2 linked regions of the Coturnix japonica genome follow. The protein of the gene in region 1 purifies or fractionates together with the protein of each later gene. This does not show direct contact. Links are inferred from orthologs where the notes say so. Each region holds a gene or a part of one and is shown on either strand. Other genes may lie near its edges.

The links. The genes of interacting proteins can lie anywhere in the genome.
Region 2: the proteins of CDC42BPB (region 1) and FAM167A purify together in Homo sapiens (co-immunoprecipitation; 3 studies listed by BioGRID and IntAct, counting the BioPlex papers as one, with this or other methods). This does not show direct contact. The link is inferred for Coturnix japonica from reciprocal best matches to the Homo sapiens genes CDC42BPB and FAM167A.

What each region holds. Positions count from the first base shown.
Region 1 is NC_029520.1:45,426,530-45,431,892, reverse strand, and holds part of CDC42BPB (serine/threonine-protein kinase MRCK beta), read left to right. Parts: intron 1-445; coding exon 446-570; intron 571-1,521; coding exon 1,522-1,627; intron 1,628-2,943; coding exon 2,944-3,092; intron 3,093-3,647; coding exon 3,648-3,742; intron 3,743-3,828; coding exon 3,829-3,908; intron 3,909-5,315; coding exon 5,316-5,363. UniProt on the Homo sapiens protein: Serine/threonine-protein kinase which is an important downstream effector of CDC42 and plays a role in the regulation of cytoskeleton reorganization and cell migration. Regulates actin cytoskeletal reorganization via phosphorylation of PPP1R12C and MYL9/MLC2.
Region 2 is NC_029518.1:97,819,948-97,825,958, reverse strand, and holds the start of FAM167A (protein FAM167A), read left to right. Parts: upstream 1-2,695; 5' UTR 2,696-3,155; intron 3,156-6,011.

The DNA.
Region 1 (5,363 bases):
TCAGGTAATATATAGTAAAACAAATGAATTTTTGGTGATATAAGTGTCAGAGATCTGGCCAAGTGGTAGCTTTAGCATCTCAGTTACTGCTCTTTGTGGAACTGATTCCTGCAACTCAGAGGGCACCACCTTCCAATTTTTGTGTGGAAGCTTCACAGAGAGCAAAGCATTCACAATGCCAGCTTGCCTTCCTGATGGCTTACAGTTAAGCCTCTTTCCTCACTGTGGCCTCTGCGCTTGCTTCAATCTGCTCCACCTTTGCTTTCAATCGATTTCTGTGAAATGGAAATGTGTTCCATGGTCAGTATCTGATCATGATCCAGTTCTGCAAAAATAACAAGTAAAATATAATTTCATGTGTTGTTTGTTCAAATTCTGTAAGTATGTAGACATACACATTGATAAATGTATGAAACGTATGTAAAGGGGAAATCTTTTGTTTCAGCTTTGCTCCTTTGTGGACAAATTAACAGCACAGAACAGGCAGCTAGATGATGAGCTCCAAGACCTAGCAGCAAAGAAGGAGTCTGTTGCTCACTGGGAAGCTCAGATTGCAGAAATTATTCAGTGGTATGTATTGTTTAGAGATCCTGATGGCCACTTGCAGATTTTTGAAATATTGACTGCACTTTTTTTTATGTATAGCCAGGCCCTTTTTTGTGCATCTGGGATCAAACAAAAACATAGTGCTTTGGAGTGATGATGAACCATTTCTCTTTTGCTTTGCAGAATAACTGGCTAATAAGATTTTTAAGTGAAATTGTCGGATACTGTTAAGTACAGAGGAGAGGGTTTGTTTGTCAACTTGCTTCAAACTCTTAAGTAGTTATTAAGCCACAACGTTTAGAGTATTCTGATAAACCTTGTTGGGAAGATTGTCATGATTTAAAGGTCCACGCTAACACAGACCCTGACTAGTTGTATGAGACACACTTGCACTTAATTCGTGGATCAGTCTTTCCTTCTTATTTCCTGGGTATTTAATGAATGCATGACATTTAGTCACCTACATGTGTCTTCTGCTGGCTGAAAATGAGTGTTGCTACAGTTGGAGATCTGTGGTTTTAACTTAGATGTAGATTAGTCTAGTTGCTGATGAATACTTAGGCCTGAAAAGGCATTTCAGCTGAGTGGTAAGGGGCAAGTTTTGCATCATTTTTGTACTTGCCCTTCCATATGTTATAGGAGGACTTTACAATAGCCCTTATAAAAACCAAGCAAGCAGTATGCAGATCATGTTACAGAAAACAGCAGAGAATCTCTGCAGAACACTTCCTGATGGCAGGAGGAAAGCTTCAGTTTCCCTGGTAACTGCCACAATCGAGAGAATCAAATACAAGAACAACCTAAAGCAAGGCAATATAAGCAATATTCAGTTTTCTCTGCTGGGAGTTTTTCATGCTTTCTCCATGTTTGCCATGTCTCTAAATCCGATGCAAACAATAATTATTTGGTAGTACATTCTTTGTTGCTGTGATCCATGAAACTGTTCACTGACAGCTTTTTGTGATTGCACAATAGGGTAAGTGATGAAAAGGATGCTCGTGGCTATCTCCAAGCATTAGCCTCCAAAATGACAGAAGAACTAGAATCTTTGAGAAGTTCCAGTCTGGGATCAAGAACACTGGTAAGAAAATAGCAAGCATTTGGCTGTTCTGGAGATGTCTAAGAAGCCAACATTCTCAATATCTGCTCAGAATCAGGCATTTTTTCTAATCAATCCTCTGCTCTGCTAATGACATACTGGTTTTACCTATTGATAAATTCATTTGGATCGTACGATCAGAATTTGATAAATAGAGTGGTATTTCTTAATAACATCTACCACTAAAACTGTTGCGCAGTACAGAGGAGTAGAAGCAATAAATTAAACAGAAATCCTCTTAAAGGAGTATGGTTTCTAAGACAAAAACACTGCTCTGCCTTGGCAGGTATTAAATACCTGCTTAAGAAAAGGGAAAAACATTTGCAGCTGGCCATGGAAGCACACGTCCCTAGCAGATGCCGTGGAAAGAGTCATTCTGCTGCTGGTTTATATAGATAAAAGTTCCTCATTCCTTCTAAACCTATGAATAGGTGAAAATAAAAGAAGGTTATGACTTTTTACAAGCTAACCTTTGCCTGCATCATAGAGGAAACGATCATAATGTTGAGTGGTTTTATAAGAAGAAAGATTGGATCAAATGCGGTTGGCCCAGAATAAAGAATGCTCTCTGTTCTGTATATTGCAGCTAGTTTTGTAACTTATGCAGAACCTGATCTAAGGTTAATTATTTCTCAACATAAAAAAGGCTCTCATTTTCATGAGTATTATTTGCATTTTCATCTGACTGGAGAGAATACCCAGAGCACTGAAAATGTAGTCCGCACTGAAAAATGCTTTGAAAACCTTGGAAAAGTAGCTGGAGGTGGTGAGGTTTTACATAGTGTAATCTACTTAATGAACATATGAACTGTTTAGGTGAAAGTCCCTAAGTATCCAGGATATCTCAAGACCCAAATTACTTCATTTTCTTTGTGCTATGTTTTAGGATATTATGTCTTACATAAACTGTATACATTTATCTAAATTCCTGAAGTCCAGTATGTCACTCTGCAAGTTCTATATGCTTTTCTAGTCTGAACAATGAAAGCTAACCATTTTCTGTGGATTCTCTGCTTGACTGTCATTCTTGGTGCTAGCAATTTGATTTCAAGCATATTATGCTATATATATATATATATATATATATATATATATAACCATTAAAAGCAAATTATCATTACTTTGTTTTTACAAAATAATATCTGGCTATTGGCTGATTTCTGCATAGTGGGAATAGTGTCCATAATTAATCAAAAGTGCATTCTCTGAACCAGCGTGAAAGATATTTTACGTCTCTAAACAGCTACTGAAATACATTTAGACATCTGATGTTAATATTCAATAACTTACTGCAACAGGATCCACTTTGGAAAGTGCGACGCAGTCAGAAGTTGGATATGTCAGCGAGGCTGGAATTGCAGTCTGCCCTTGATGCTGAAATTCGTGCCAAACAACTAGTTCAAGAAGAGCTACGAAAAGTTAAAGATGCAAACATATCTTTTGAAAGGTAAGAGCTGCTTTGATTATGTTTAGGTTTTACTGTGCTGCTGTAAATTAGAATAGTAATAGTAACAGCTTTGTTTTGGATTGCTCCCTTCTGCTTGGATTAGTGGACTTTGCTGGAAAGATCCCACTCTATAGGCTGGACGTTTCTAGTGTTGTCAAATGAGAACTCTTTTTTCAAGTTAACTTTGCACTGGTGTGAATATCTCAGGAATAAGATACGGATCTTAAGCACCTGAGGTAAAAAGTATGGCTAAGAGCAAATTGAAAGCAAAACCAAATATTTTTTTAATATACTGACTGGGAGACCAAACTAGTATTATAATAATTATATTTGGCAAATAATTACAGTGGTAACAGGAGTCTTAAGTGTAATTTTCATTATCTAGTCAGGTAGTGAGGTACTAATTGAGGAGAAAAATAAAATCAATTAGCCTAGAAAAAAAAAATTTAAAAAAAAAAAAAGGAAAAATAAAAAGATTTTTTCTAGGACTCTGAGGCTGGCATTCCTGACTTGGAAATACTTATGACTGTATTTTGATCTTATTTTTTACATTAGTAAATTAAAGGAATCTGAAGCAAAAAACAGAGAATTACTGGAAGAGATGGAAGGCTTAAGGAGAAAACTGGAAGAAAAATACAGAACAGATTCAGGTAATTGAAGTTGCTGTGTTTTAACAGAGTTCTAATGCAGCGTTGATTTGGCTTTTTAACTAAGGCTATTCTGTTTTGGGTTTTAGGTCTCAAACTTCCAGACTTTCAGGATTCCATTTTTGAATATTTCAACACCTCTCCTCTTGCACGTGATCTGACCTTCAGAGTGAGTTATTAAGTAAACTGATTATGAAGATGTGATAGCTGAGTTGTATTTTTATTACCTAAAAGTAACACTTGGGCCCTATATAACAGATATGTATCTGGCATGTTAGTCAGGTTAGCATGTCTTAGAATTGAATGACCAGTAGACGTCAGATTAACTGGCATTTTGGAGAGAAACTGCCTTCTTTAGGAAATATTCACAAAAGCTTACATTACGTAGTTTTCCTTATGTTTTCTTTAAGTCTGTTTCAAGCCTTTGGCTGAATGATATACATTCAGGTTGTTTGAGAAAGGCTGGCAAAGCGTATTACTAATAAGGGATTAAATACGTTGGAGTTGGAAGATGCTAGTTAAGGTTTAAAAAAAAGAAAGTATTCACACAGTTCAGACAGTGCTTAAACAAACATATAAAGTTGTTGGCTCCAGATCTTCATGGGGTGGTCAGAATAGAAGGGACTGGGGAGAGAATCAGGACTCACAGATGATGGTACTGAAAGTTCATTGTGACACACCCACTGATCCTTGGAAAACTAATCATATACATAGCAGCTTCAAGTGGGCGTTTTGCTTAGAAAAATTTGTGCATTCCCCAAGGAAGCAGCTGTTAAATGCAGTGCAGAATCACTTCTCCTTACTTCATGAACTCCTGATCCTTGAAGATTGGAGATTTGTATTCTTTTTTTGCAAAACACATTGTCAGTTCAGGATGAAGCTGTGAGCTGAAACTGGAAAGAATGATCTGTTATGTTTATGGACCTGAGTTAAAAGGGCTGAGGGTTAGAACCTAATCAGTCTGTGAGATAGTATATGTGAAATTTGTACATTCTCTGTCGTTTTTCAAATTCTTACTGGTGCCAAAAGGAAAGCCCATGAACATGCTGAGATATTTCCATGTGCATATTTTGTGTCTGTGCTGTTCTCAGTTAGAAAATGCTCATGCTGGCTTTCTTGCTTAAGCAATGAGATGAGTTACGTGGATGAGGTGAAAAGAAATATTACATACATACACTACAGTGTGGATGGCTTTTATCTACCAACTTTGATATTGCTTTATGAATCACCAAATACACTTAAAATAGTAACTTAGAACATCAAGACAGTAACTACTAAAGATCCAGTCTACAGATCCAGCAATAAAGGCATACTCACTGATTGAATGCAAGTGGCATTTTTTGATGTATTATATTAAAATTCCTGATACAGTACTTAGTAACTTCTATTAACAATTTTTTTCACGTGTACATACATTTAAGGTTTGTCTGTCTAATCTGCTCTAGGTTAGTTTAGTTTGAATGAATATCATTGGGCCATATTAAACATTAGATAGCTAGCCTACTAGTATTCCATATGAAGTTTTTCTGTGGGTGATAAGTGATCGTTTTTATCCCTCATATCTGTTACAACAAAGGATTCTGTTTCTTCTTCGTCTACATCTTCTCTGCTAGCCTTTTGGGAA
Region 2 (6,011 bases), on another chromosome or scaffold:
ACCTTAACACATTTACAAAGGCAGTTCTGAAGTCCCCAAATGGATTTTTGTTTAAGCTATATAAAAGAAAGAAGAGTTGGTGGGCTCCAACCCTTTCATTGGGGTAGTGAACTGCAGTGAGACAATACGAAGGGGCAAACAGCAGTTATCCATAGGGTGACACCCAAACTGTATTGGGTCCTCCATGTAGAGGTCCCCAGTTAATCCCTTCATGCCATGTTGCTTTTCCATGAGAATGAGGAAGCAAAGCTTGGAATCATAGAATCATTAAAGTTGGAAAAGACCACTAAGATCATCATGTCATCATCCCATCATCACCATGCCCACTAGACCATATTGCAGCACTAGGTCATTTCCATCATCCTGGGCATCTCCTGGTCCCTCCAGATCAACCCAGTGACCCCTGGCCATGAACAGCCATATATCCACAACCCCCTGCACTCATTCTGTGTACGCAATGGTTTCCCTGCAGTGGCCAGAACAGAGCATTAGCTGGAGACCTGCTGCCCTCTGTAGGTGCCTCCATCCCATTTCAAAGTTGATGAGCACACAAGGAGCTCTCTAACCATCTCAGAGGACATTCCTGGTGCAATGGTTAGAAGCAGCTGGGGTAGATCACTAGTGGTAGCCTCTCCTCATTCCACTTCTGGCAGGCTGGGTTCCAAGCACTTTGCTTTGTGGAAAAGGCATTTAGTTGGTGACCAATTAAGAAGCCACCACTGATGCTCCTCCAAGACTCTGAACAGCTGCCCTTATGGAAGAGGAATGGCCAAAGATTAAAAGATCAAAGATTATCCAGTTCCCATCCCTGTGCCATGGGCAGGGTTGCCAACCACTAGATCTCCGATGCTAATCTCAGGTGCTCATCACAGGTGGTTGGGGTTAGAGCTTCATTACAGAGGGGGTTTTGGTGGAAGGAGAGGAACAACTCCCCACCACAGGTCCTTTGAGTAAAGGCAGTGAGATAAATTCAAGCCAAAAAATACTAAAAACCCATGAGAAGACTTTAGAGGGATGTGGTTCCAGCCTTTCACTGGTATCTTATGGCAGCTCATTTGAAATCCATTACACAACTAAGTTAAAAATAAACATTTACAGAAGAGGGAGCGGGTGGCCATGTGTGGTCTGTTACAGTAATGACAGAGATGTCCAGCTTTGGCAGCAACACCTCTGCTCCTAAACTAACCCATACCACAGCTTCTCTTCTTTTAGGACAAGTGGGAATGGTTTGAAACTGAGACAGGGGAGGTTGAGGTTGGATCTTAGGAGGAAGTTTTTCACCCAGAGGGTGGTGACACACTGGAACATGTTGCCCAAGGAGGCTGTGGATGCCCCATCCCTGCAGGCATTCAAGGCCAGGCTGGATGTGGCTCTGGGCAGCCTGGGCTGCTGGTTGGTGACTCTGCACACAGCAGGGGGTTGGTCTTGCTCACTTCTAAACAATGCTGATCCCATGTCAAAACTACACATCCCTGGACCTTGTCTATGTCTTGATATTGTTTAGTTCATCCAGAGCAACCTGATCCAGTGGTTGGTGACCAGTCCATAGCAGGGGGCTTGGAACTAGATGGGCTTTAAGGTCCCTTCCATCCCAAGCCATTCTATGATCCCTTCTATGATCACAGACCCAGGGTTGTTTTGGTGAGATGCTGCGTGAAATTTGGTGCTAAGACATGAAATGCAGCTACAGTCCCATATCAGAGGGTTTGAACAGCAAGGGAAGAGCTCTCATGTCTCTCTAATCCCCATTCACCATCAGCAGCCCCTGGAAGGGTGGGTGTCAGCTGCCAGGTGGCTGGGAGAGCTGATTGCCAGGCTGTTTGCATATGCATATCTGAAAATTGACAAAACGAGGGTGCTGTCCAAGCAAAATAATAATAATAATAATAATTGCATTTGCATCAGAAATGTGAAAACGCTGTTCTTCACTCTTTGAAGTCTGCATTGCTGCATCTTGCAGGGCTGTACTCTACACAGGAGGGGCTGCGGGGTGTGGGGAGGGGGGTCGGGATTGCAGCCTGGTGATGGGATTGTGGAGATGCTGGGCTCAGGGAGGGGCTGTAAATCATTCCCCACTGCCCTGGGGGGTGGGGGGAAAGAAAAAGAAAGGAAGGAGGCTGGCTGTGGGAAGGGGCCGGGGTGATGAGGTGTCTATGGCCAGCACTTAACCCTTCACACCACTGTGTTTGCAGACACTGCCCCGAGATGCTGGACGTGCAACAGCTGCATGTGGGGACAGACGTGGTGTTCCTTTCCAGAGTCACCCCAGGTGTTGATCCTTAACCCCTGGGGGAGGAAGGAAGCTCACGGTCCCAGAGTCACCCAGCAACTGGGCTCGTGTTTCTATGGGTCCCTTCTTGGAAGCAGTTAAAATGGTTTCCAGCCCTGCTGGGAGAGATGTGGGAGCAACAGGGGCTTTCCCAGTACAGCAGATGGGCAACAACTGGTTTCTGGGTGGTGCCAGCAAGCAGTGCCCTGAGTTACCCACCCTAGGGCTTCCCAGGGACTCCCACTCAGCCTTGCCAAATTATCCCCATCCCTTTTTGCCTTCCGTATGCACGCTCACCTCTAGGCAAGCATTTGAGAAACACTATCTCTGAGCTCTCCCTAGTGCCAGAAGTCCCCGGCTCTCTATGGAACATGATGAGAACAGCCACGGGGATGCTGTCCGAGTGCCTCCTGTGGGCTTTTTGGGGTCCCTGCCCTTGCAGCAGCCCTCCATTGCCAGTAGCATCCCTAACCCTCCTGCCTGGAAGGAGGATGTCTAGGACCCGGGCGATACGGCTCCTCCCTTTCAGGTCTCTCCAGGGTTATTGCTTGGTGGGAGGTAGGTTCGGGGCTTGGTGGTATGAATGAAAGAGAGACAGGAAATCTGGACTGAAAAGCTCAAACTGGAATAGCTCGCCTGTCTCCAGGCAACAGGCCTGACGCAACCACTGGAAAAAAAAAAAAAAAAAAAAAGTCCCTTAAATTAAGAAGGAAAAAAAAAAAACACAACACACACACACAGAGATTTCTGAAGCGAGACAGGGAGGAGGATGAGCCAGTCTCCTGAAGGCGCTGGTGACATCGCTCTGCAAATACCAAGTTGGAGCCCCGCGGAGGAAGGAGGGAGCCAAGATGTCCGTGCAGCGCTCCTGCTGAGTCCCTCCCTGGTGAGTTGGGGTCGGGGAGGGGATACCTGGTATGGGAGCTGTGGGAAATAGGGCTTGGCAAGGAGCAGGTCCTTGGGGAGAGAGTGTTGGGGTGGGGGCAGTGGGGACCCCCCCCCATTGTGGAGCTGGGGACTCATTCCTCTCATTCCAGCTTGGCCAAAATCGCTTGGAAACATCCAGACTGGTGGCACCCCAATGGTTGGGATGGGTGGAAATCACTGCAGGGCTTGCACCCCTCTTTGCAGAGGGGATTTTGCTCGCAGCTGGGGATACGTGAGGGGCAGCCACCACCTCCCAGGGAGCAGAGGGGGAATCTTTCTCCACCGGCTGTGGTGTAACAGAGAAGAGTCTGTCCCCTGCTCGGGATGATCACCTGTTGCTCCCTCCATCCCCTCCTGATCTGCAAGAGCCCCGGAGGTGTTTGTGCAGCGCAGACATCATGGGATGGAGCCTGCTGGCCTCGCAGGGTGGCACTACCTGAGGGTTCTGAGGCAGGCACGGCGCTGAGCAGGGTGGGTTTCCACCTGCTGAGGGCTGACCCTTGTAGATCTGACTGAGAAAAAAAAAACAACAACCCCTAAAATCATCCAGAACTTCTACAGAGCCCTCTATAACAGCTCGGGGCTAATTGCTAACATGAATGATCAGCCTGAGCCCCGACAGCGCCGGCACAAAAGCACCCTGATCCCAGCCCCAGTGTAGAGCTGGAGGACCCCTCCCTATTTCCCCACCATGCTCCCTGCATTATTCACTGCTGCTTTGCCCCTCTGAGCTTTCCCACATTGGAAACCTCGGTGGAAAGAGGGGGAAAATGAATGAAAACCAAGCGCCTTGTCGGCAGTGAGGGGCTGTGTCTGGCTTTGTCTGCCCATATCCGATGGATTCCCCACTTCTCAGTGGGAACGAGCTGTGGGTTTCCCTCCCCCAGATATCGTTTTGGTTCCATGGTTGTTATTTGCATGGCGTGTCCCCTCTGCATCCCCGTGCCGATTCCATGGGATCCGAATGGTGCACAAATAAAACAGAAAGGGAAGGAGCTCACAACAGCCCCGCAGCCATTCAGGTTTGAAAAATGTATCTGAAACACTGCAGGAAATATATATATATATATGTATATGTATATATTTATAAATATCATCCTGAGAGTAATTCAGCCTTTCAGAGGGGAGGGAGCAAGGGTCTGTTTGTGAGCAACCTGCCTTAAATGAGATATTGAACAGTAATGTGAGGACCAGCGCTAGAAATGCTGGGGAGGAGCAGGTCTGAGAGCAGTGCTCCTTGCTGCTGAGGCAGTAATTGGATGGGACAGGCAGCGTGTAGAGGGGATTAGGGGGTCGTGGGGGCTGATGCTGCCCCTGATCGCTTTAATTTGGAGCTGGAACAGGGGCTGCTCTGGCGCTTGTTTCTGCAGGGGAAGCTCAGTGCGAGGCAGAATGAAGGCAGGAGAAAGGTTTGTTGTTTCTTACCAGGAATGTACACTTCTCCTTCGTGCTGCATTGAGGGAAAAATAACTCCGTGTGACAGCCCCCTGGGAAGGGAGCATTTCTCAGCCTGATCCAGCTCGTTCCCAAGGAGCCCTGGCTGCTCTGGCACAGAGGTCCCTGCCCTGCTCTTTTTGTGGGTGAAACCCAGCAGGGTAAGGGGGCAAGTGGGGAAAACAAGAGAAGGAAGGAGCTCTGCCAAACTACCCCCTGGTCCTTCAGGGGCCCCTTGGGGAGCCGGGGTGAGGTCCCAAGTCCTGCTGGGACCTTGGGGCAATGCCTGGAGGGGCGACACTTAGCTAGTCCGTGCTAAAAGGTGGCTGTTGTGGATGGAGTATTTTTACCAAGGGGATGCAAAGTTGCTTTTCCTTCTGCAGCCTAACCCCCTTTCCTTCTAATAACAATGATACCTTGCTTTATGCGGTGGGCTGAGAGGCAGAATTGCCCTCCATCCACTTTCTATGAAGCCTTCCTGGTCTGCAGACGGCTCTCACTCATCACCAGAGGGCTGGTTTGCAGGAATGCCAAACATCTGGCAAAGCCTGGGCCATTTTCATGCTGGGTTTCCACCCAACCACTGGAAATCTGCTGATGGAGGGGAACTGGGCTGCTCAGAAGGTGGGGCTGCCAAGGACCCAACAGAGGCAGCCTCCATCCTGCTGCTTCAAAAGCAGCCTGCTATGATTTGTGCAAGGAGTAGGCTCAGAGGCAGATGGGGATGAAGGAACAGAGGTACTTCTGACACTACCATTGAGCCTGGAAAGGAATGCCAGAGGGAGAAGTGGTCCCCTCTTCTTAATATTGTCCACTTGTCAGATTTGGCTGCAGTCCCCCACTGCTCTCTTTCCTCTGTTGCACCTGGGCCAATTTTGGGGGGCTGTTTGGGCAGGAGGTGCTGGGGTGAATCCTCACCCTTCCTCAGGCCACACATGACATGAAAAGCCCAGTCCTTCCCTCCTGCTCCCATGTATTTGCAAATGCCAAGGGCTGAAGGAGCAGGATGGGTTGCTGTCCTGAGCATATGAGCTACCTGAGGGTGTTTGGGGGCATGGTTCACAGCCATAAATGCATGGGAACATCCATTTAAGTCAGTAACCCTATTAAGTCAGTATTCCAGACACAGCATGATGCAGCTCTGAGATCACATCTCTCAACCCTCAGTCAGCTCAGGGACAGAAAGCTGAGCTTCTGTCATGCATTAGACTAGAGGTGAGTCCATGTGTGAGAAGGGCCACAGGTAATACTGATATCCCTGCAAGTGTGGGGGATTCATCAGACCTGGAGCTGCACTCATGTTCATGATGCCCAGCTTGGCCATTTGCAGGCTTCAGGATCAGGATGATATTTGGGCTGCAGGCATCTTCTGATGGGAGGA